Linked DNA regions of Alligator mississippiensis. Each later gene encodes a partner of the first gene's protein in a complex. Links are inferred from orthologs where the notes say so. Each region holds a gene or a part of one and is shown on either strand. Other genes may lie near its edges.

Region 1 (7,722 bases):
ACCATCTTTTCACTGCCTGCCTGCATAGTGTTTAATACAAAGGGATCATGACCTTTAATTGCAGCCATGAGGCACCACAATAATACTTTTGAAGACATTTTGGAGAATGTTTTTTTACTATGTAACATTAGCATCACAAAAGAATGCCTGCAAACTTTAAACTTAACAAGTATGATATGTAACTTGTGGAAAAAACATTCACATTTTTGCTGTAAGATGGTTCTGCCTCATGTATAAGCTGATGGATATAAACACATACAAACAAACAACTCTAGCTGTTATACCATCGTCAATAGTCCCAGTTTTGGCATCCTTTTTCTTACTCTTCTTTTTTGCAGCTTTTTGGAATGGTGCAAATTCCACTATGGCAGCATATTCCTGACCTGTTATACAGAACAAAATACACAATAACTTAAATGTCTGCCACTATTTTACATTAGGACAGATGCTTACAAGAAACAGGCAACCCTAGAACATCTAACTAGATATTTCATTTACAGACTATAAACAGAATACATTGAAAAACAGCATTAAATGAATGCTAAATTTACAAAGACTAGCACTCAGAAGTGTTAGTAGTAAGGATGCCCATTACATTTTATATTTATGCGTTATGGTCATGCCCCATTTCCCCCTGTACACTTCCCCTGCTTCATTCATTGTGTGAATAGAAGGTGATTTTAAAAGTAACTGGGGAAAAAAAAAATCCCTAATCTTGATAATATCCAGTAGAATGTAACATCCATGCATAATAGCCAGAATCTTTTTTCAAGGTTTCTTCTGAATGGCAAGCATATTAAGATGCATAGATTCAATATATTACTGCAAAAAGATTACATGAATTACTGGGGTTCAAAGCCACAGAATACGTATGCATTTCAAAAGTGATGTTTAGACCCATGAAAGGATTAAAGCACAATAATTAAGCTTTCATTTGCTGCAGGGTAAGAATGACCAGGCAGGAACTACTGTAAAGGAAACGATACAAAGTAAATAATCTCTTTCCCCTTTTACCTCAGCATAACTATGTTTCACCTAAGGCTACTGATATACAAGTCAAAAGATACTAAGTATATAACCACATTTTGAGTACTTGCCTTTGTGATCAACAAAAACATAACCGTCAAAACGATCCCTGAATAGTACTATGTCTTCTTGGTTTTTAAAGTTGATGTAGGCTCGGGAAAACATGTGAGGATACAAACTGCAAGAGACAAAAACAAGCAACATAAGGGGAAACTAAGCTGGATAGAATTGCTGATTAGTCTAGTTATAGGAACTACAAGTATACGCTTACGGTCCATTCCAACACAGTGGAGTCATGTGCTAAACACCCTCCTCCAAACAAACCCAAAAACCTCCCACCTCAAACCCAAACTTTATGCACCTGGAATCATTGGCAAAGAATTCAAAATAGTCATGTTCAGGCAGAGGCTGAAGATGTTCCTCGAGCTGCTCCTTGGTCAGACTGGGAGGCAAGCGCCGAATTACAACCTGACCCAGTGATGCCGGGGAGGGGGGTGAGGGTGGGAAGAGATAGAAACAAAAGAGACAGGGTAAGAAGATAATGTCATCTCCCCTCCGTTTCCACTGAGCTCATTACCCGAGACGTTGCACGATAACAGACCTGTGGTCTACGCAAGGCTTGGGGGAAATGCCCTGCAGCAGCAGCCTTGGGCCACATCCATAACTGAGGCCCCTGCCACACATTAAATCATAAGAACTGACATTTCCTGGATCAGACCATAGGTCCCTCTTGCCCAGACTCCTGTGTCACACCCAATAGTGGCCTCACTCTTCTGGCAGGCTTATAATAAGACTTGGTGGGCCTAGGCCAGGGGCAGACAAAGTCTGGCCTGTGGGCCAGACCCAGCTGGCAGTGGACTCCATTTCCCAGCAGCCCCTGCCCACACCGCTGGGGCAAAGACTCCAGCTGCTGACTATGATAGTGCAAGGCTGGAGTTGCCATGAAGACCAGCCCCAGCTGAGCTGGCAGGGCACCCGGCAGAGCAGGGCAGGGGGCTGCTCCAAAGCTGCTGGGATCCTGCAGTGGGGGCAGCTTGGCCCGGGGCCAGCTGCCACTTGCATGCTTCAGGTAGGGGTGCGCAGGCTGTGGATTGCGGCTCTGTATTGGCTCCTTGCAACAGTGACAGCCACGTCCCGAGCCGGGGCAGAGCCACAATCTGCCGCCTGCACATCTCCACCCAGAGCATGTAGATGGCAGATCGCAGCTCTGCCCTGGCCCCGGACCAAACCGCCCTGGCCACAAGATCCCAGCAGCTCCAGAGCAGCCCCCTGCCCTGCCCTGCCCCCTGCCAGTGTGGCTGAGGCTGGTCTCCATGGCAACCCCAGCCTTGTGCTGTCACAATGGCTGGGGTCTCCATGGGGACCAGCCCCAGCCATGCAGGCAGAGGGCCCAGATCCGCCATGTTACCCATCCCTGCCCAGCAACACAACACGCAGGTCTGCGTCACACGGGTGCAGAGAGCGAATGCTGAAAGGCAGAGCAACCGGCCCGACCAGGGCTCGTTCCACTGCTGCTGTCGCTCCCGGCTCCCGGCCGCGGGGCTCGAGGACCTTCCCACTCAGCACCCGGGACCTTCGCACCTGCGCTCCACCGCTACGTCACGCAAGTCCCTGGGGAAGCGCGGGATCAACACAGCCCGGCCACACGCCCTGCACACCCCCGGCAAAAGCATGCGATGAACGGAGACCGGAATGACACGCGCAAGAAACGCAGCCGGCCGCACACATGACGCCGGTGACACGCCATGAAGCCCGGCCAGCTGCGGGCAGAGCCGCCCGACTGCGGAGCGGGCCCTGTGGGGGGGGGGGGGGGGCGGGTGCCGGCCGCACCTTGCTGAGCGTCTCCTTCTTGTCCTTGGGCCGGTCGGCGTCGGGCGCGGGGGGCGGTGCGGGGGGCGGCGCGGGCACCCCGCGCTTCTCCTTGGGCCTGGTGTTCTCCTTGTCCTCCTTCATCCCGCCGGCTCGGCCACGCCCCCGCACGCCCATTGGCCGCCGCCGCTCTCGCGGGATTCCCCGAGGGAGGGGTCCCGGCATGCAGCGCGGCGCTGCAGCTCGGCGGAGCCAATCGGGCTGCCCCGCGCGGGGCCTGCTGGGTCGCGCGGTGCATGGTGGGGTGGCGGCGCTGGCGCTGGTGCTGGTGGCGGTGACAAGGGCGGCGCAGCGATGTGGTACGAGATCCTGCCCTTCGCTGGCATGACGTGGCTGTGCCTGGTGGTGCCCGGCATCTCACTCACCTACTTCTACCGCTACTCCAACGGCGGCAAGGTGGGGCTGGAGGCGGGGCTGGGGCTGGGCCTGGGGCTGGGGCTGGGGCTGGGCGGGCGGCGCGCCTCACCCCTGCCCTCTGCGTGCGCAGGAGAAGCGGGCGGCGCGGAACCACTTCCAGTGGACGCTGATGGAGCGGGACCGCTTCGTGTCGGGCGTGAACATATACCACCGCAGCAAGGCAAGTGCTCCTCGTCACCCCTGCCAAACTGCTCCCCGGGGGCGGGGGGGACGTGTCATCAGAGACTTCACTTATTTTCTTCTGCGTTGCAGGGCTTGGAGAACATCGACTAAGAAGTGAGCTTCTTGACAGAAAAACCGTAAAAAGCAGTATCGTTCTAATAAACACGCATGTCTACGTGAGGCGGTGTGTTTTATATGTTGTACGCAGACCGGTGGGCGGGGATCGGTCTTTGCGCTTGTGGCCGTGATGTTTTCAAAAGAGGCGGTGGGAATATCGCGTCGGCTCATACGCCTTGCAGAGTAGGTGTGCGAGGTCTTGCGGAAGACTAGGGAGTTCGTGTTGTAAACGTTGTTTTAGCTGACTCCTCTTTCAAGAGGAGACTGAGACCGTCACCTTGCTGGGGTCACCTCGCCCCGTTGTCTCTCCTGCTTGGTGCAGGGGGCTGGACCCCATAATCTTCTGAGGTCCCTTCCAGCCTTATCTATGAATGTATGACATGTTTGCCACACGTTAGTGGAGGATAAGATTGCTAAGGAAGAGATATAGGCATACACTAACTAATTATTTTTTGCCACACTTTTAACAGGCTATTAAACCAATGTTAACTGAAAAAAAACCCCCAAAAAACAAGCTTTGTTGATGCTGCAATGCTGATAAAAGCCAAGACTTTTGACTTGTTACAGATATTGGCTTCTGATTTGTACATTAATCGCCAAGTACAATCTAAGCAATTGTAGGTCCTCCATATTGAAAAGGAGAAGTTGGAGTGTGCATCCTGCAGCAGTGAAGGCATTGCTTGTTTTAGTTGAATAAATGAAATGATTACACCTCTGAGAAATTCTGGAGTATAAGCTTACTAATGTGAATGTGTATTACTAGCCTGCACAAAACTGAGGAACAAAAGTGGGAGTATAGCACAGTCTAGGTCAGGGGGCAGCAGCGTCTTTGGCCATAATGCCAAAAACACCCCACCCCAGACCCATGCCTTGAGTTGGCATGCCAGGAGCAGACTGTGGGGGAGTTGTGAGGGGCCCGATCCTTATTGCTGGCGGTGGCTGCGTGTGTACCTCCGGGCAGACGGCAGAGGAGGGGCCAGGGTTACACTGCCCTGGCCCCTTCCCCACCCTGTGCCCCTAGGTATGTGTGCAGTTGCCGTCAGCATGGAGCCGGTGCCGGTGCTCAGGAGCACAGCACGGCTGTTTGGAAATTGCCCATTGCCTACTGCAGCTGCCCAGAGTCCAGGCTGGAGGAGGGCTGCAACCAGCTGCACCGGGCTACATGGCAGTGGCTGGTGCACATGCGCCTCTAGGCGAGTGGCAGAGCTCTAGGCTCAAGGCAGCTGCAGCAGCTGGTGGGCAGGCTACAGACAACTGCACTGGGTTGCAGGGCACCATCACTAGTGGTGGAAGGGCCAGGATTGTGCTGCCCCAGGCCCCTCCCCCACTATCTACCTTGAGGTTTGTGTGCACCCGCCACAGAGGCTGCCCAGGGCTCCAGAGCCCAGTGCAGCTGTTCACAGCCTCCTGGCTGCAACATGGTCAGCTGCAGCTGCACAGAGCCTGGGCTGGCTGTGGTATGCCTAACAAAATGGCCTCGCATACCATGCTCTGGCACATACGCCAGGGGTTGGTGACCCTGACCTAGGCAATACAACTGATGTTTATTTGTCTTATTACAACAGGTATCTTCCTGCATTACATCTCTAACATGTCTTGTTTCAAGCCCCCCCCCCCTTTTTTTTTTTTTTAAACAAAAAAGCATACAGCAGTGTAGCGATACTCTTAGCATTCATCTGCTCAGACACACACATTCTGCTCACAGACAGAAAGTGGTGATCTTGTAACATTTATTATTCTCGGTTAGAATGAAGTTAAAAATCACTCTATTGATTTTATTTCTTAGCAAGCCTGATTCCTGGATGCTTGGAAATTTCACTAGGGCTTTTTACCACTCCACCTTAATCGTAGATCTAGTTTACACGCTGGTTATTTATTGTTATAATTATTTTGGTGGTGGGTTTAACCAACACAGTTATACTGGTACAGCACCTAGTGTGGATGCAGTTATGCTGATATAACATTCTTTCACATAGCACTATGCTGTTCCTAGGGTGAACATGGAGAAAGTTAAACAAGTCCACAGCAGGAGATTCTATAATAGAGCTGTGGTACAACTTTTACATGTAGCTGAGGCCTTAAAAGTTGTATTTATTATAGATACAATTAAAATTAGCTACCAATAACAGTGACAGTCCTTAGCTGTTGTAGATATACTCTTAATTTTCACGGGTTACTAAATGCAGCTAAGCAAAAGCAGCAGGTGGAAAAGTAAGCCTATCACAGTGGTAGCTGTCCATGTAAACTTCTCAGTGCCACATGTTGCTGTAGGATCTGTACGTTGGAGAAGAAATGGAAATTAATTTCAATTTATAACTAGTTTTGGATATATCATTGAGGAGACCATGGCAAAGCAATTAATATGAACCTTTGGGGAGGTTTTTTCTTTTCCTGTTAATCCTGAGTTGCTTCTCGGTCAGTAATCCCTGCACTTCGTCTGGCAAAGAAAGTAAGCAGTGGACAGAACACAATGAACTTTGAAATGATCCTTTGCATTCACAAGATATTTTTTGCAAAGAATGGTGATGCAGGTATGGGCACCTAAGAGACAGATGAAACCGCAGAAAGTTTGTGTGACTTGTCCTAGATCAGGGGTTCACAAGCTGTGGTACACATACCCATGGGGGTATGCAAGACATCTTGGGGGAGGGTAATGGCGGTTTTAATTTTCACTGTAATAATAACTGGCATTTTAAGGTGTTAAAATATAAAACATGCTGGCGGGGGTACACAGGCAGCTGATAAATCTGGAAAGAGGTACACAGTAAGAAAAAGTTTGGGAACCTCTGTCCTAGAACAACATTGCCAAGAGATTAAAATGCATCATTTAGCCTTCAGCATGGTTATGAAAGTTTTCTGACTAGTCAGAAACAAAAGTAGGGGCTGCTCTTCTGTTGAGTTGGGGATATACCTGTGGTATATAACATCAGTGGGAGTTAATGCAAAAATTTCCTTTTCAATCCCTATCACTTGGAGCTGGAGAGTTGCCTCTTAATGTGGTAACTAATCTGTTTGTTTTTTGTCTGCAAAACTCACATTTGCTCAGTATCACATTTGCTCAGTGGCAAATCAATAACAAGTGGATCATGCCCTCGTAGGATACCTGGAATGTTACACAGAGGTCTGGATATCATGCTAATACAACTGGAAGGATATTGGGGGCAGAAGTATATAGGTCAGGAAGAGGAATAAAAAGAGCTAAATACATACAGCTTGACTATGAGGTAATGAAGGGGGGGAATGATTAAAACAATTTCAAAGAAGACATGCACATAGAATACTAGTATCCCCTATATTTCTGATACACCAGTGCTGCTTAATGCCTATATAACTCCTTTTTGTGGTAATGGACATTTGCCCTACGTTGTAATGACATGTTCAGTAATTACTCACCTCTCCATAGTATTTTGGATTTGATATTGAGCCAATAGGTTTCACGAGAGTGTGCCACAGTTGCTCTGTTCAAAAGGAAAAAGCGTAAAGCAATGACTACAAATGGGAAAGACCCCTTCCCAGCTTTACAAAAATATTCCTATAGTTATTGGAGATGCTCTGCATAGCAGCCTGTGTTTCATCATAAATTCATTAGCAGGTAGTAGCATATGCCTAACCTCATAGGAAAATAAATCCACTCCATTGCACACATACAGAAAGGAGCTGTGTCAGTCTGATAGCTGAAGATTTTTCTTTCCCCAGAAGAGGTCAGGATACAGTTTTTTTCCAGGATCTTTTGCTGTTTCCTTTAGCAGTATAGCAGGTTCTTTTACTTCAGTCTCTTGTAACTCTCAGGGAATTAATCAGTCTTAGTCATGTACAGCTGTTGCTTTTCTGGGGACCCCATTGCTAATTGTTCCTCTCATGTTAGTGGAATTTTCAAAAGCACTTAAATGACTGGGTGCAGAAGCCCCTGGAAATCAATGGAACTTGTCCCCTGGAATCACTTAGGTGCTTTTGAAAATCCTACTTTAATGTGGTCATAAAAGGTGGAGATGTTGGTACTGTACAGATACAGAAAGGGGAAAAATATATGCTTGAGCTGCTTGCTTGAAGAGGAGGGGACTCTGCAGGTGGGGGAATAACAGAAAATCCACTTACATGAATGCAATGAATGGAGGGCAGCCTGAGCTCAGG
Region 2 (8,017 bases), on another chromosome or scaffold:
GTCGCACTGCTGCCATGAGACACACAGTTAGTTACCTTTGTCAAAAATCGGTTAGCATATTCCTTAGTGAGACCCTCCTAGCTGGGTTACCAGTGTGAAAATGCTTCTACAGACTTTTTTGCCAGCAAATGTCATTTTTTTTCTATATAAGAGGGTTGGGGCTGGGGGTTTGTAAGCCTTTTTTGTGAAAATAGAATTCTATACGCACAATTTCGGTTCATTTTTATTTAAATGTTTAAGGACAGCGCTGCCTGGCAATTTGTGTATTTTGTAAGAAGCTTGGATTGGCTAGAGACAACTAGAATGGTGCCTATGCTTTAGCTGTAGTGATTCCCTTCCTTTATGAAACCAGCCTTCGTTGCTGTTTTTTACACTAATGGATGATGCCAAAAGCTCCTAGTCTGAGTAACTCTCTTACTGAAGTCCTGATTTATTACTGTTTGTTGTAATTACAAAGACAGAGTTCTTTCATGGCCTTTCAGGCTTCAAAGTGAACTAGAGTCCATGTAGATGGGGTGAGTGAGCAACGGATTCTTTGGATTTGAAAGACCATGTTCCCCCTACTCTTTTGCTGCACTTACCTGTCTGATTGAGAGTTGCAGTGGTACCTCTGCAGGGCGTGTGGCTGGGGGAAGGGTCCAGGGAGGAGTTTTAGTATAAGGGTGAAAATGTTAACTTTGTATTGAAGATGTTAGCAGGCCACAGAAGTTGACCCACTTGAATGATTCCTTTTGAGTGTTGTGTAAAGACAGTGATCTTCTTTTTCCTGCTTGGCACAAACAACTTGATAAACAATAGAGAAACACAAAAGGCATTGCTTTTTTTCTTCCCCCCACCTCCCCCAACCCCCCATATCTGGGGTATCATTATGCAATGTGGAAGAGAGGCTGAATCTGTAACTTAACACAGTTGCGTTTTTATACTGAAGTTGAGGCAGTCATGGAGTCTGGAAGAGAGGCTAAAACACCTTTAGAGGGGAAAATCTCTTGTGAGGTATGGGCTCTGGTGCTACAGAGGTTGCATAAATAGGGCTATACACTGCATCCTTTTTTTTTTCCTTTTAATAAGGCTGTTCTTGAGTGTCCTGCTTTTAGCATGATAGCATGTGTCCTCAATGGATTCCTGTGCAATTAGGAGCCAAAATGTAAAACAGGCAAATACTAGCTGGAGCCCTGCCCTGCCCTGTGTGCTGCCCCCCCCCTCCCCCTTTTCCTTGATGACGTCCATTTTTCAGGTCTGCATTGAGCAGGTTTTGTATTCTGGTTATACTTTGCCTTAGTGGCTTTTTTCAGGGGGCAAAACACCTTTTTGAATTCCAGTGACAGTCAGCTCTGATTTGCTAGTCTTGAACTGGCCTTACTTCCCAGTGCAAAGCCATTTTGAAACTCTTCATCATCATGCCATTTAGACAGGCAACCAGGCTTTGTAACAGTCCTTTTTACTAATATATTGGCTTTTCATCAGCAAAAGGGAGGGGTGGGGATGGGCCAGAAGTAGGCTTTGGGGTGGGGGAGTACAAAACAAAACTTGCAGTTGAGTGTTAGTGTGGAAAGATAGTCTTATTTCTCCCAATATGGGGTACAACACTGTGAAATTCAATCCTCAACAGAAAGCCCTGCAATTTCCCTCCTAGAACTATTCTTTGGTTTAAAACCTTGCTTTTTTTTTTAATTCAAGTTTTAAACTAGTGTCAGAAAACTTAAAAACCTTTTAAAAATTAAAATTAAAAGCTTGTCTTTACTCTTCAGCCTTGTTTTATGGCCATTTGACACATGGTTGTCTGTTGTAATGCATACTTTTGATACCATTTCTAATGTGTAAAATGGTTGTCTTGTAAATATCTTATAAAAAGTTCAATTTGTAAATAAAAACTATTGTGGCTGTTAATTTTTTTTTGAATTTCTGCTTCAGTTTGTTAGATTTAACAGTGTTAATGGGGAGTATTAAACAATTCTGCTTGTATGTTTAAAGAATTGAAACCAATTTTTTTACAATAAAATAGAAAAAATATAAATCTGGTGATTGCCTTTTTCTTCATGTATATAATTCAAGACTTGTTACAGAAGCAAAGACATTTCTGAAGCTTGTAACACTATTCCCAAAGCGGCAAACATGCATGAGGCAGACAGCTGTACTTTTCTATTGGGGGTGAGAAGGTATCTTAACCTAGCATGTGTTGAAAGGCAGATTGTCTCAAACCCTTATTTTGGCTTGCTATTTTTCTTGCCTTTTGTGTAGGGAGAAAAATTAAGAACATTTCTAAAATTAGTCTGCAGTCCACAACCAGTTTTCTTTAAAAGACAACAAATATTTAAGAAACAGAAAATGTTTCCTGAAACTGTTTTTATTTCAGTTTAACTTCCAAGCTTTCCTGGGGCCTGCTTTGTCTCTAACCACTGTTATCTAGATGGTTTGTCAATGTATGCCTGCATATCCTAGCATATTGTTTCACATACAATTTATCAAGCCTATGACATGCATTCTTTTTTCTTCTTTTACACAGTTTAAGCAAGGGACATGTGAAAAGGCAGAGAGATGCTGCTGCTGGTTGATAACAGCTGTTCAGGGGCTGCTCTTCCTGCACTTAAATGCTGAATGTGGCAAGAGATAAAGACCTATTGTTGAAGAGGTGGAGGATTACCTGGATTTACGAGGAGGGAAACAAGTGTGTTCAGAAGATAATGTCACAGGAACAGTGTCATCAGTGTGGCTTGTTTGGAGTTACCCTGGCACCTAAACTATAGCTTCACTATACCTGTTCAGGCCTCTCTTTACTGGAGACTGAGGAAGATAGCTACCATGGCCCCCACTACTGGCCCAAAGTTGCCATGTCTGTGGGAACTGCAGGTACTCTTTTTCTGGCTGAAAATTATAGGCCAGGAAAGCAAAAAAATGAGTAGTAATATTCTAGGCAACTGTTGATCTTCTAGATCATGGTGTTTGCATAAGAGATCTAGTTAGGTGTGTGATGAATCTACTTGTGCCCAATTTGAGAACAACACAGCTTGTTACAAGTTTCACAGATCCACGTGTTGTCTGAGTTAGAGTCCAGGTTTATAGCACACTGCGTCCTTTCTTGCTTTGCTTCCATCCTCTGGATCAAAGTGACTTTATGTTGTGCTGCACCCAGTGCCAGATGTTCCCTCGAGATTGGACAGGATTCTGCACGCTTCTCCCAGCTTTCTGCATTAACGTTGAATGACTTCATAGCATTTTTGCACACCGGGTACTGCCATAGAGGGCAACCCTGCTTTCTAGAGCCATCTTGAATCTCACAGTACAAAATATTCCTGGGGATATAGTCTCCTCCCATTCTCCTGACATGGCTGACTCATCGCAACCTTCTCTTCTTGATAGTGGTTTCTAAGTGTGTCAGTCCTATGCACTCCAGCACCTCTGTGTTTGGTATTTTGTCTTCCCACTTTATTTTCAGGATCTTATGTAAGCATCTCATATGGAAACTGTTCAGTCTCTTGATGTGCCTAGCATATGTAGTCTGTTTCTGAACCATAAAGCAGAGATGACAAGTATGCAAGCCTTGTAGATTCGCAGCTTCACCTTAGATGACATTTTGCTGTTACTCCACACACATTTCTGTAATAGGCCAAAATTCTTAGCTGCTTTTCTGATTCTGTTCAGTCTGAAGGTCAAAATTCCTGTTGGTTGTAGAACCCAAGTAACAAAAGCTGTCGATGACGCCAAGAGATTTACCCCCCAGAGTTATATTAGGTATTAATTCTTCCCCGGCTTTGGTACATGACGATAGGTTTTGTGAGACTAATTGTCTCAACCTGAAGCTCCTGCATGACTCAGAAAATCTGCCCAAGAGATTTTTGCAGGGAAGATTCACTGTAGGCAACCAAGGCTGCATCATCCACAAACAGGAAATCTCTTAAGAAATAGCTCTTTCACCTTGGTTTTTGCTCTACACCTTACATGTTGAACAAGCCTCTAGTCTGGTTCAAAGATAAATGTCATCATCACTGTCCTTGAATGCATGAAGAAACAGGAATGAAAAGTAGATGTTAAAGAACATGGGGGCTAAAACAGCCATTTCACCCTGTTGTTGACGTCAAAGGTGTGTGATTCTGTTTTCATACGCTACAGTTGCCTTCATACCTTGATGTAAAGAACAAATGATGTTCAACAGCTTAGGGGAACAACCTAGTTTCTTCAGAACAGTAAAAAGGCCCTGTCTGTTGACTGTTATCGAAGACCTTTGTTGGGGAGATGAAAGCTATGTACAGTGGTAGTTGTTTTTCTCTACACGTGTCCTGCAGTTGCTTGACTGAAAATATTGTTATCAATGGTGGAGTGAAAACTGCACTGACTTTCAGGTTATTATTTCACCTAGAGACAGCAGTTTGGGTACCATAATGTCAGTGACTTTTCTGAGGATGTTCAACAGGGAAATACCTCTGTAATTGTGACAGCTGCTTCTATCTCCCTTGTTTTTGTTTAACTGCAAACTGAGCAGCCTTGAAATCTTGCGGTAATAATACATTATAATTACAACCTAGAAAGTCACCGAGGAACTGATATGGGAAATATTTCTGGTAGAATGAACCCCCAGAAAGATTTTTCCCAGCAAGAACAGGGGTGTGCCTGTGCCACTACTGGGGGGGTGGCTGGGTGCCCCCCCCGTGTTTGCTGAGCGGGAGCCAAGAACCAGGGACCCCTGTTAGGAGACAAGTCCTCCCGGGGACAGCGAAGTAGGCTGATGACGTCATTCAGCTGGAGTGTGATGGCATCATACCCCGCCTCTTCCTGAGCCCCTGATGTAAAAGGCCACGTGGGCACGTCGGGGCGGGTTTCCGGTTTCTCCCTATTGCGGGGGTGACCAGAGTCTGGCCGCAAAGGGCCCTGGGATAGCGTAGGCCGGAAGCCGTTGAGCTGCAGTTTCCAAGCCTCGTCCCCTTCCCCGCGCAGGCGCAGGAGGGGGGGGGCGTGGTCGCGGTGCACGCCGGGAGCGGGAGTCCGCGGGCCTACCCGTCTGCCCCCGCGCGCGCCCGCGGCGCCAGGCAGGCTGCCCGCAAGATGGCGGACAGGCGGCGGCAGCGCGCCTCGCAGGACAGCGAGGACGACTCCGACTCGGCGGCGTCCGACAGCGCCGACTCGGCGGGCAGCGCCGCCCGCTCCGCCTCCCCCTGCCCGCTGCACCGCGCCGCCCCCGGCCCTAGCCCCGGCCCCGGGCCCGGCCCCCCCGCGGCCCGCACCCGGGGGGCCGACAGCGCGGCCGGCGCCGCCAACAGCCCGCCCGAGTCCGAGTGTGTGAGTGAGGCGGCGGGGGGGTGGTCACCGCGGGGGGACTCGGAGCTGTCGGGGGCGCTGAGCCGAGCACGGCATCGCCGCAGGCGTCAAGATGGTGCCAGCCCCGACCCCGCCTAGGCAGGGGGCCCAGACCAGGCCTGCACGTCCCTGCTAGCCGACAGCAAGCTCGAATCAGCCCCCACTGTCCCACGGGAAGAGGTGTTCTTCTTCATGCCTCTTGAGTTGAGCAGGTTTATTTTGCAGCAGACCCCAGCCCTTTGCAGACGAGCCCCTTGGCATTGAGCCATAGAAAACTCTTCCTGGAAGGGACCTTGGGAGACATCTAGTCCAGCCCCCTGCTCAGAGCAGGACCAGCCCCACCTAGATCATCCCAGCCAAGGCTTTGTCTACCCAGATCTTTAAAAGCCTTGGGTTGGTGTCTTCTCTTCTTCCGTCTGGCATCAATGTGCAGATCCATTAGCGGCTGTCTGGTGTTATCACTCGATGTGCAGATTCCATTTACCCATCTGAGAATTTATAAAGATTGTAACTTTCGGTTAAGTGCTGTGCTGGTTGTTGGATACTTCCTTCACACAGGGTGTTTTTTTTTCCTAGTGTTGCACCCTGGGTCTTATGCAGCGTTTAGATGATGGTTTGGATAGGGGTGATCCTGCCTCAGGCAGGGTGTGGGAGGAGATCAGCATTTCTCAAACAAACTGCAAAAAAGGACTCTCCTTTAAAGGAGAAAAACGTGGGAAACAGTGGCTTTTCCTTTGCAGGGTGGCAGAGGTCTGGGCTGCTTGGGGTCCCCCATGCCCCACACATTGGGGGGGGTAGCAGGCAGTGGGTGCGGAGTGAGGGGCACTGTTTTGGGACTGACCATCAATGTTTACAAATCAGTCCTGGTGCAAAGACGGTTGAGAACCACTGGACTAAATGACCTCTGGCGATCCCTTCCAGCCTTACTTTTCTATTACCATGAATGAATATGTACCTGGAAAATATCCAGATTAATAGTTTGCCCCAGAACAGTGTGGTTTATTCAAATTAAATCATTGTCCCACCTCTTTTTTGATGGGAGTCAGATCTCAGACTAATCAGTCCCAGATTAAATTGATGTATGGCTTGAATGGTGATTAACTCAATTAGCCCCGGGTGACCTCAGGAAAAAATACCACCTCAATTCTTCACAGGTACTTAGGGTGGAATGATGGTCCTGTAGGATCCCAGAGTAAAAGGCTTTGTTCTAGGGGAAATCCAAAGTGTTTTTATCTTAAGATTTGTGTCTAGCATTTGCTGTGGTATGCTCCAGACTGTCTGCAGGCACCAAAGAAATGACTAAACCCTGGTTATTAAACAGGTAGGGAGGAACTAACAGGTCACAGGAGCCCAGTGACCCTTTTTGCATATCTCCATTATAGCAGATTATGGTCAGAATAATTATTGGGCTAACTAGAAAGTAGAGCTACAGATGATCCTTTTTTTAGTCACACCCTTACTGCTGTGGCAACAAGAATCTGTATGTGCAAGTTGCTCAGGAGGTGGCCTGGGGCTGGCCTTCTAATTTAATAACTTCAGCTTGATTAGGTTACTGCTGTTTTAACATTCTGTAGCAAGTGAGTAAGTCTTCATCAGAGCATCAAGACAATAGATCAGATGCTAAATATATTGCTTAACCCTTAATTCATGATTTAAAAATTGTGAAACAGTTGGGACTGGTGGGATTGATTTGGTCAGAAATCAATGCCAAACAAAATAGCATTGAAATTAAATCTTGTGACTTCAAAGCCCCTGTCAGCCCCATGAATCCCAAGTTGTTTGATAGGTTTCAGGGGCCACGAGGCTTAGCTATAAACACCTCTTCTGCCTTTCTTGAGCTTTCAGTGGACCTGCTAGTTCTTCTGGCTTTTTGCTTTTGACACACTTGCCGTTTCTTATTTGTGATTGTGGTATCTTTTCCTGGCTGAGGCCAGTGGTAAAATAGGTAGGGGTGGGGCTTGTGCTTCTCTTCCCCTTTTCCAGTAGAATGTGATGGGCTCCTTTGGGATGGTGCTATGCTCCGACCTCTCCAGGCCAGCTGTCCTTCCTGTGCAACTGAGAGCCTTGTACTACCACTGCACTTTGCTAGTCCACCGCATTTTAATAGTTCTTGTTTCAAGTATCTCTTCTGTTGTCAGGGCTGCTGATGTGCCTGGTTTTTACTTCATTATGCAGGCAGTTTTTATTTTCAGTACAAACCTATTTTTATTTAATTCCATAGTCTGATACTCTTTCTTCCCTGCACTTTGCCTCTGGTCTGAATTTCTCCAGTTCTGTCCCTTCCTGTGCTAGATGCAAAGTTACACTTCTATTATTGACCTCTGCAGCAGAGGTGTCTCTCAGCTGCATGCTTCTCTGTATCAGTTGGCTTTTCCACAGCTCCCAGTTTTTAAATAATCCTCCATATCATTTTCTGAACAGGTGGTCTATATTGATTAAGGGAGTCCATCCTTTCTGTCTGTAGAGGCAAATTCCTCCTCTTTACAGAATTTTTTTTAATGTATTGGGGAGTTGAAGCTCCCTTAGTGTTGTAAGTGTTTGGGGGATTAATACTGTACAGTCATAGATTTATGTGTTTTTCTTACTGATCTGAATTTAGCTTTCTGTATACCTTTCTTATGCCTCCCTTTTCGAAGGTGCTGACCTGTACCATGAGCACAAGTTTCTCTCTACCACTAGCTGGATATTTACCTAGTTGTCTTGCAGGATCATGTCCAATAAGCAAGAC
Region 3 (7,631 bases), on another chromosome or scaffold:
CCTGGATCCACCCTCAGCTCTCTCCACTGCCTCATGCCTTGGGGCAAAAGCAGGAAACAGCAGCCAGAGAAAGGAGTGGGAAGCCTGGAAAGACTTGCTATTGCAGCCAGAATGATGGTGAGGGGAGGAGTAGCAGTTGAGTAAATGCCTGGGGGGGGCACATTAACCCCTCATGGGCTTCACGTGGCCCACAGGCTGACACTGGGACAGACATGAATTGAATTAAATTAAATAAACCAGGTAGCACTAATGACTTGCCAAGCAGAAGGGTGAGGTTTAACAATCCCTATCCAAACAGCTGGAGACAGGGACACCTTCATGTAACCTGCTCTTGTGCCCTTGATCCACGCTGAACAAAACAAAAGACAGTGCAACAAAACAAAACCACCCACAAAAATTTACAATATGAAAAATATTTGGCTGGTGTCCCGTAGTACAGCCAGCCCACACACTCAGTCAGGGAGCGTTTCACTGCCCTACACAGGGAACGAGGCAAGAATGACTTTGCCAAATGCTCTGCCAGCACTAGGTGTGTAGGCAGCTCCTCGGGACAACACTGCCAGAACCCTGATCTCACTCCCATTCGCCCCTCTAAACAAAGGCAGGTTTCCTTCCTTCCCAAACTGATCCCTATTGAAAGGGACTAGGACTAGAAGGTGACAAGGAGTCAGAGAATGACTGAAAACAGAAGCAGAAGCTGAGAAGGAAATACAGAGCAGTGCAACAGCATCACATACGTCTTAAGTTCCTTTGAGGGCAATGCCCAGTTGTTTCTGCAGCCTCCACGTCTAATACAAAAACATCGGGCCAGCAACTTTGGAGTATTTCCTCTTTTTTCAGAATATTCACAAGTTGCCCTACTGGCTTTCCTAGAATGTCAAATGTTTTGCAGAACGTCGCCTAAAAGCACTGCATGCTGGGTTTCTTTTTTAAAATATGCTGTGCTATGCCATTCCCTCTTCTGGTTGAAGAGACCCCTTTGGTTTGTCACTGCCCCGAAATATTTTCCCCTGCTAAAAAACACTTTCTGAAACACTCAACTCGTAGCTGCAGAGCCTTGCGGTTTCTTTGAGGAATCCCTGTTCTTGTGCCTTCTGCAATTGTCTCCAGTTAGAATTATTTCATTTCTGTGCTACAACCTTCAGACAAAACCCGTATCTTGGCAATCAGAAATAAATGCATGTAGATCATAACCTTTTTTGGACCAAAGGCTTCTTTTTCCCCTTTTGATCTGGTGTTTGGACAATGGACATTCTAGTCCATGGCTAGATCGCTATGTACCAATGCCATAAAGACATGCAGCGTACCTGGGACTCCAACATCAACTTGGACAAATGCTTTTTCTCTTCGGTTGTAAATGCTTCTTGTTTTAGCTCCTCAAACCTTTTAGCAAACCAGTGTCTCTCCTCTGGGCTTGGCAGCTGGCTCGTCTCTATAGAAATGTGCCCGCAGTATACGTGATCAAGGTAAGCCAGCACATCCTCTAGGGACACTTCTTCCTTCCCCATGTTCAGAAGTCCTGGTCAAAAAGAGATTGGAAGGCCCATAGGGATTAGCCACTCTAATGGCTAGCAGTCTAAGGACACTGCTAACTAGGAACTACAGTTTGAAAGCACAGTTTCACTTTCTGCCCCTCTGTTCTTCATTTGAAGCCCAAGGTCTCAAGAAACTTCAGAATTACCATTCCTAATACTTGGGACTTAGATGGTACTTTTCATTCTCCTTTGCAGTGTTTGAAATATTACTCCAAACTCTTCCAGGGCAGGGTCTGGGTTTTGGCATCTTGTGTTTGTACTGTACCGAGCATTGTGAAGCTCAGAGATGATCAAGGTCCTTTGACATTCATTTGTATTGTGCAATGCTAATTTCCCAGATGGACAGACAAGACATGCAGAAGTTCTGGGAGTTGCTCAAGACCATGTTAAGTTAGTGGACAGAGCTAGGAATAGAAGTCAGATCTCATGACTTCCACTCCAGTACCGCAGTCACTGCTGTAATACTGTACTATCATTAAGTAACCTGGGTAGCTATCTGAACAGTTACAGGGAATACTTACGTGATTTCAGGAAACATGATAACCTAAGTTTGCAGATGTCATAGACAGAATAAAAGAATGTAAATAGTGTAAAATCAGTCAAGAGAAATTATTTTTCATTTGGCATTACATCACTGAACAGCTACCTAACACATGGCTATGCCATTCAGGACAGAGCACGTAATCAGTCTGTTGTGGTGAGATTGCTATATTACCTCATGCTCATTTAGCAGCAGAGAAGAGAAAATTCAATGGTTTTATTTGACAGATTTCAAACATAACTCAAGTGAGCTGGGCACTGGAACCTGTCTACCCACACAATGCTGTGCCCCATGAAGATACCCGACCTAACTTGGGACACTGCATTATGCTGGGGAGACGTGCTCTGTGGTACAGACTTACCTGTGATGTTGAAAGGCCCTTGAAGAACTTCCAACAGCATTCGAATTTCAGGTACCATATCCAACACCGCTTGACCAGCAAACAAAGGGTTAATTTTGGCGGCTTTGTGGCCGTGCTCATGGTACGCCCCTACTAAACGGGCAAGACCGTGGTCAACTAAAGGTACAAAAGGGAAAAAAACAGAGAACGCTGTTAGCACGTACACTCTTCACTCATTCACCCTTGAGACGATGCTGCATCTTCCCCCACTGACATGCATCCAAAATGCCAAGATCACTTCCTGAGCTCAGCTCTTTAACCCATATCACTATTCTTCATTCACCCCCTCCACTTCTTCCCCATAGACACACACTTATGGCTTGTCTTCGCTTTCAAGGTGCTTCACAACCTGTCTTCACCCCATCTATCCTCTCCCATTGAATATGGAGAAGGTGACTCCCGCCTCCACCCGCCTCACTGTGCTCACCTCGCATGCCCAACTCAATAGATTTCCATGCTTTATCACATAGTACACCAAAGGGGGACTCCCATTAAATATCTGAAAAGCCACCTTGTTCCCTTATTTCAAATCTCTCCAGCTATGATGAGCACAAGAAACTCAACATGAGACCCCTGATGCGCAGTGACCCCTGCCCATCATGCTGAGCAGTACCACCTCACTGCTCCCAGCGGCTGCCTGCATCCCTCTGTCGTCCCCTGTAAACTTTCTGAGGCCGGGACCATACGGCTGCATGTTTCCTAACACCAGTCCCCACAGAAGCACCTTCTAGAGCAGGGGTAGGCAACCCCTGGCACGGGCACCAGAGTGTGGCATGCAAAGGCATTTTGCTTAGCACGTGCACCTCAGGGCAGAGAGTGGGGAAGGAGCCAGGGCTGCGCTGCCACAAGTGGACATAGTCATCTGCTTGCATTCTCCATCTGGGGACAGAGATATGCCTGTACCCTCTGGGCCATGTCTCTCCAGCCCTACGCAAATGTGACTGGCTGGGGGCTGTGAAGGGTAGACATAGATGAACCACCCAGGGTGAGGAGTTAATCACCTCACTTGCACAATCCCTCTCACTCCGCACGTGTTGCATGACTACATCACCCCAGCACTTAGCTCCGGGATCACCACCAAGGGGGACCCAAGCTGCAGCCAGCCCACGCGTCTCCAAGACGCTGCTTAGGGTTTTGCTTTGTTTTGAAGTCCCAAGCACCAGGGGCAGAGGAAACCTCAGGGGCCTGTGCTCTTCTGGCAGCAAATCATCACAGATTCACAGAAGTTTAGAGCTAGAAGGGACCTTGTGAGCTCATCCTGCTCTGGGCAGGAAAGACTGCTGGGGTCAAATAACCCCCGCCGGAGCAGCTGTGCTTGCAGTGGGGCCTGGCAACCCCGTCTGGTGCCCAGCGCATATCAGTCTGATGTCTGTCCCTGCCACCGGTCCAGCTGCAGCAGAGCCTCTCACAGCCCCCCGCCTTCTGCCCCGGGCACGCCAGCGTCCTACAAGTCCAAGCTGCAGGTGTTTTAGGCACTCTGCCCAAAAACGTTGCTGAGCTCAGCCACCTTATCCCTTCCCCGGGGCAACAGGTGCCAGGCACCCCGGCTCCGCGTGGAGGTCAGGGCTCAGCCCAGCTGGCCCCGGCCATCACCCACCAGCCACTCCGGGGCTTTGGACTTTGAACCCTGATGTCACCAGCCATGCTGCGCACCCAGACCCCCATCACCAAGGCAGCCGGGACGCACTGACCCCCCCACCCCGGCAGACACACAGACCCAGACCCCCCCCAGACAGACAGACAGGCAGACCCCCCCAGACAGACGGACCGGCCCCTGTCGCCCTATCTGGGCGGGCGGCGCGGGCGCTGTCGGGGCGGCGCGGGCGGTAGCCGTAGACGCCGCGCTCGGTGCGGTAGCAGCGCCCCGGGGCCCCCAGCGCCGCGCGCCACGGCCCGGCCCGACCCGCCGCCGCCAGGGCCATCGCGCTGCGCTCCGCTCCGCTCCGCTCCACGCCGCCAGAGGGCGGGGCCGGACAACGCCCCCAGCTCGGATTGGACCGCCCGCTCGGGGGCGGGGCCGAGCGGGGCGGCCCCGCCCCCTGCTGGGGGAGACGGCGGGCGGGCGGGCGGGCGAGGAGACGTGGGGTGTCGCCCCCTCCCTGCGCTGGGCCAAATAAACAGTGATTTGAGGACCAGGTTGCAAGGGTTTGGGCGTGAGGTGGGGCCTTGCTAGGCTCAGTCAACTGCTGGTTTATATGGAAACCACCTGAAATGTATCATCACCCCGACAGGCCAAGATGAGGAGAAAACGTACCTGGTTAGTCAGCTGTGGGAAACGTAGCCCAGAACTATAGGTTAGCCCTCAGGTGAGGTGAAGTAACAACAAAAGGTCTGTTTTGTAGCATCCGAGCTTTCCTCGGCTTTGGCTTCTTCCCCCTTGGTGCGCGCGCTGGGCGGGATGATGTCTTGAGGACCGTATCCTTTCTACTGGGCTGAATAGTGGTGCCGGGATGAAGTAAGCCAAGACAATCCAATTGTTGCATCTAAAACTGATGGTAATTTGGGGCCAGGAGGCGATGCTCCTGGGTTTCTGGCACATCGCACGTCCCCTTTATATTTCTCCATCTGTAAAATTCGGATAATTTGTCCTCGATGCTGCCTTGCTTGTGTTCGCCCCTACTCTGATAGCGGTATAGCTGCTGAGAGATTTGTCCGCTGTATTTGCGGCGAGAACGCTAGGTGATTGATTATCTGTTGTCTCCCTCCGCTTTTTGAGCAGGTACTTTGCTGCTTTCTCTTCTTCCTATTAATTTCCAGGTGTTTTTGGTATCCACTTTAAGTGGAAATGGATTATTTAAACAACTCCTAGTCTCAGTGATGACTTCTAAAATGTACTTGAAATGTTTAAAAATGATAGATGCCAAATGATAGATGCCATTTTCTTAATTAAGAATGTTTCATCCAACATGAACAATTCTATTTTGACACGCGTCTGCACAGATGAATGGAAGTGGTCAGAGAATTCACAGTTAATGGCTATTTAGGTGCAAGCGATCATTGCTTTATTCCATTTATTATGCATAATCATAATAAATACCCAACCAGCAAGGTATATACTTGGTGCTTCAAAAAGGCAAATATCACCCATTTGAAAACAATTTTGAACTAGATGAGCCATGAACAAGAATTTGAACAGAAAAACTTGACCGATCGTTTAAAATGAAGAACTAGATGTCCAGTAGTTACAATCCAGAAAGAATGCTATGCTCATTAAAACATGCCTGACTTACAGGGAAAAGAAATAGAAAAACAAGGCAAAGTTTTCTCTCTGATTTTGTAAAATGCATTTTCTATTTTTATGAGATTACAAGTTTGTTTAATGAACTTTACATGTACTCAGGCCAGTTCCATACGACAAGGTTTTCCTGGCACAGAAATGTTGCACGAAACTAAAAGTTACATCTCCTAATTGATAAAACTAAGTCAGTAAAACCCTTGATACAGATGTAACTATGCCTACAAAAGAGTGCTTATCTTGGCTTGGCTTATTTTATGTACACAGGAAGAAGGTATAGATATGTTAGCAGAAAACCTCTGTGTCCTCAAGGTGGCTCTGCAGACAGAGCTATGCTGGCACAGCTGTAGAGGCGGAAGCTCTTTAAGTACAGAGAAGCCCTTAAAGTTTTGTAGGGCATTTGACTTGGTAACGCATGACATTTTTCTTTAAGAAACCAGAGCACTACAAAATCAATGTGGCGCATATTACATTGATTAAAAATGGCTAACTAGTTATTCTCAAAAATAAAATTAAATCATCAGGTGGGTGTATTCCTGATGAAGGCTTGCACAGATGAGATTTTGGCTAACTAATATTTTATCACTAACTGGGAAGGAAACATAAAATAATTACTAATAAAGTTGAAGTGAGTGGTAAAGAATGAAAAGGACAGGTCACCCTGGATCTGGATCTCTTGCCATGCTGGATGCAAGCAAACAATATTAACAGAGTCAAATGTCAGATCAGGCACCTAGGAACAGAGAGCTCAAGTCAGAAAAGTGGGAAGATCCTAGCTTTATCCTAAGAAGCAGTGGCTCTGAAAAGGACTTGGGTGTTACAATAGATAATCAGCTGAACAAGAACCCTTTGTAGTATGTTTTTGATAAAAAGGCTATGCATTTTGTGTGTACACGAGAATATAGAATAGGAGGGGAAGGTTACAGTAGCTCTGTATTTGGCAGTGGGGGTGTCTCTTGGTGGCGTCTCCTGAGACCAGATCTTGTGTTTACACTTCAAGAAGGGCATTGAAAAATTGGAGACTATTCAGAGGAGACCCACAAGGATGATTAGATGATTAAATATACTTTCTGGTGAGAAACTAAAAAAGAGCTTGATTTATGCAGTTTCTGAAAGGGAAAGTTATGACTTGATCACAATACATACAGCACCTGCATTGAAACAAAGGACTGCAAGGACTTTCTAGAGCAGAGACCAGTCCCTGTGTTTGCAGGCAACCATTTATCAAAAATGGACACTTCTGCCCTTCTTACACACCACAAGAACCCTATGAAATAAAAAGTAACAACAGACCCAAGTAAAGAGCAGGAGAGACAAAGGAACCACCCTGATACTGCATTGGCAGAAAATTAGTTGGGTAAAAAGATGCTCAGATGATCCTCTCAAAAGGTTCAAGGCCTGCGCCACAGACAAGGGCAGGAGAACCACAGTGGTCCTGGCCAATCTGACCTGGGAGAAAATTGCTGCCTGCCCCCAAATCTGGCAATATTTGACTCATGCATGATCCAGGCACATCAAATAGACACTTAAAGGCTTATAAATACTCCTAGTTTCTGGAGCACCAGATCACCCTAGCCAGATCCTCACCCTTTGCAGTGGCCCAGGTGCAGTGCTTCAGAGGAAGACAAATAAACTAGTAGAAGCTAGTAACGTGTTCATAGGGAAAAAAGTTCCTCTTGGCTCCCAGCCATCAACCAGCAGAAGCCTTAAGTCCAGGGGCAGGCAAGATATGGCCCACGGGCCAGATCTGGGAGCACAGAGCCTGCCCGGCCCAATGGCACATAGACTGGGAATTTATCTTGAGTTATTACAATCACCTCTATACACACGATGCAAACATGTGCAAGTCAGGACAAAAATATTTTTCAAAATAAAATTAAAATGTGTTATGGTAGATGTTTGAGTTTTAGTATATGGTGT

What was found.
Region 2: UPF3B (region 1) and CASC3 share a complex: the UniProt entries of both Homo sapiens proteins name them as parts of the mRNA splicing-dependent exon junction complex. The link is inferred for Alligator mississippiensis from reciprocal best matches to the Homo sapiens genes UPF3B and CASC3.
Region 3: the proteins of UPF3B (region 1) and UPF2 are in contact, whole or in part, in a crystal structure (PDB 7NWU), measured with the Homo sapiens proteins. The link is inferred for Alligator mississippiensis from reciprocal best matches to the Homo sapiens genes UPF3B and UPF2. Residues at the interface, in NP_542199.1 of Homo sapiens: Lys52, Arg56, Arg57, Tyr79, Glu81, Phe83, Asn85, Asp86, Thr87, Ser88, Leu89, Tyr90, His92, Tyr94, Arg96, Tyr98, Ile130, Glu132, Pro135, Phe136, Lys138, Ala139, Ala140, Arg147, Asp148, Lys150, Val151, Gly152, Thr153, Ile154; in NP_056357.1 of Homo sapiens: Lys767, Arg768, Pro769, Pro770, Leu771, Glu773, Tyr774, Lys777, Lys790, Arg793, Gln794, Arg796, Lys797, Leu798, Pro799, Trp800, Gln801, Cys811, Ile814, Asn815, Trp817, Tyr837, Gln838, Glu839, Asp840, Ile843, His844, Val846, Asp847, Gly848.

Annotation. Positions count from the first base shown.
Region 1 is NC_081831.1:72,549,855-72,557,576, reverse strand, and holds the start of UPF3B (regulator of nonsense transcripts 3B), read right to left. Parts: upstream 3,013-7,722; coding exon 2,857-3,012; intron 1,495-2,856; coding exon 1,388-1,494; intron 1,205-1,387; coding exon 1,098-1,204; intron 384-1,097; coding exon 285-383; intron 1-284. Other genes in the region: NDUFA1 (NADH dehydrogenase [ubiquinone] 1 alpha subcomplex subunit 1), read left to right, coding at 3,190-3,291, 3,383-3,472, 3,565-3,585; putative defense protein 3, read right to left, coding at 5,768-5,865, 6,985-7,049, 7,687-7,722. UniProt on the Homo sapiens protein: Involved in nonsense-mediated decay (NMD) of mRNAs containing premature stop codons by associating with the nuclear exon junction complex (EJC) and serving as link between the EJC core and NMD machinery.
Region 2 is NC_081827.1:164,600,496-164,608,512, reverse strand, and holds the start of CASC3 (protein CASC3), read left to right. Parts: upstream 1-5,013; 5' UTR 5,014-5,037; coding exon 5,038-5,271; intron 5,272-8,017. UniProt on the Homo sapiens protein: Required for pre-mRNA splicing as component of the spliceosome. Core component of the splicing-dependent multiprotein exon junction complex (EJC) deposited at splice junctions on mRNAs.
Region 3 is NC_081827.1:13,570,550-13,578,180, reverse strand, and holds the start of UPF2 (regulator of nonsense transcripts 2), read left to right. Parts: upstream 1-4,627; 5' UTR 4,628-4,782; intron 4,783-7,631. Other genes in the region: DHTKD1 (2-oxoadipate dehydrogenase complex component E1), read right to left, coding at 1,308-1,519, 2,438-2,593, 4,245-4,398. UniProt on the Homo sapiens protein: Involved in nonsense-mediated decay (NMD) of mRNAs containing premature stop codons by associating with the nuclear exon junction complex (EJC).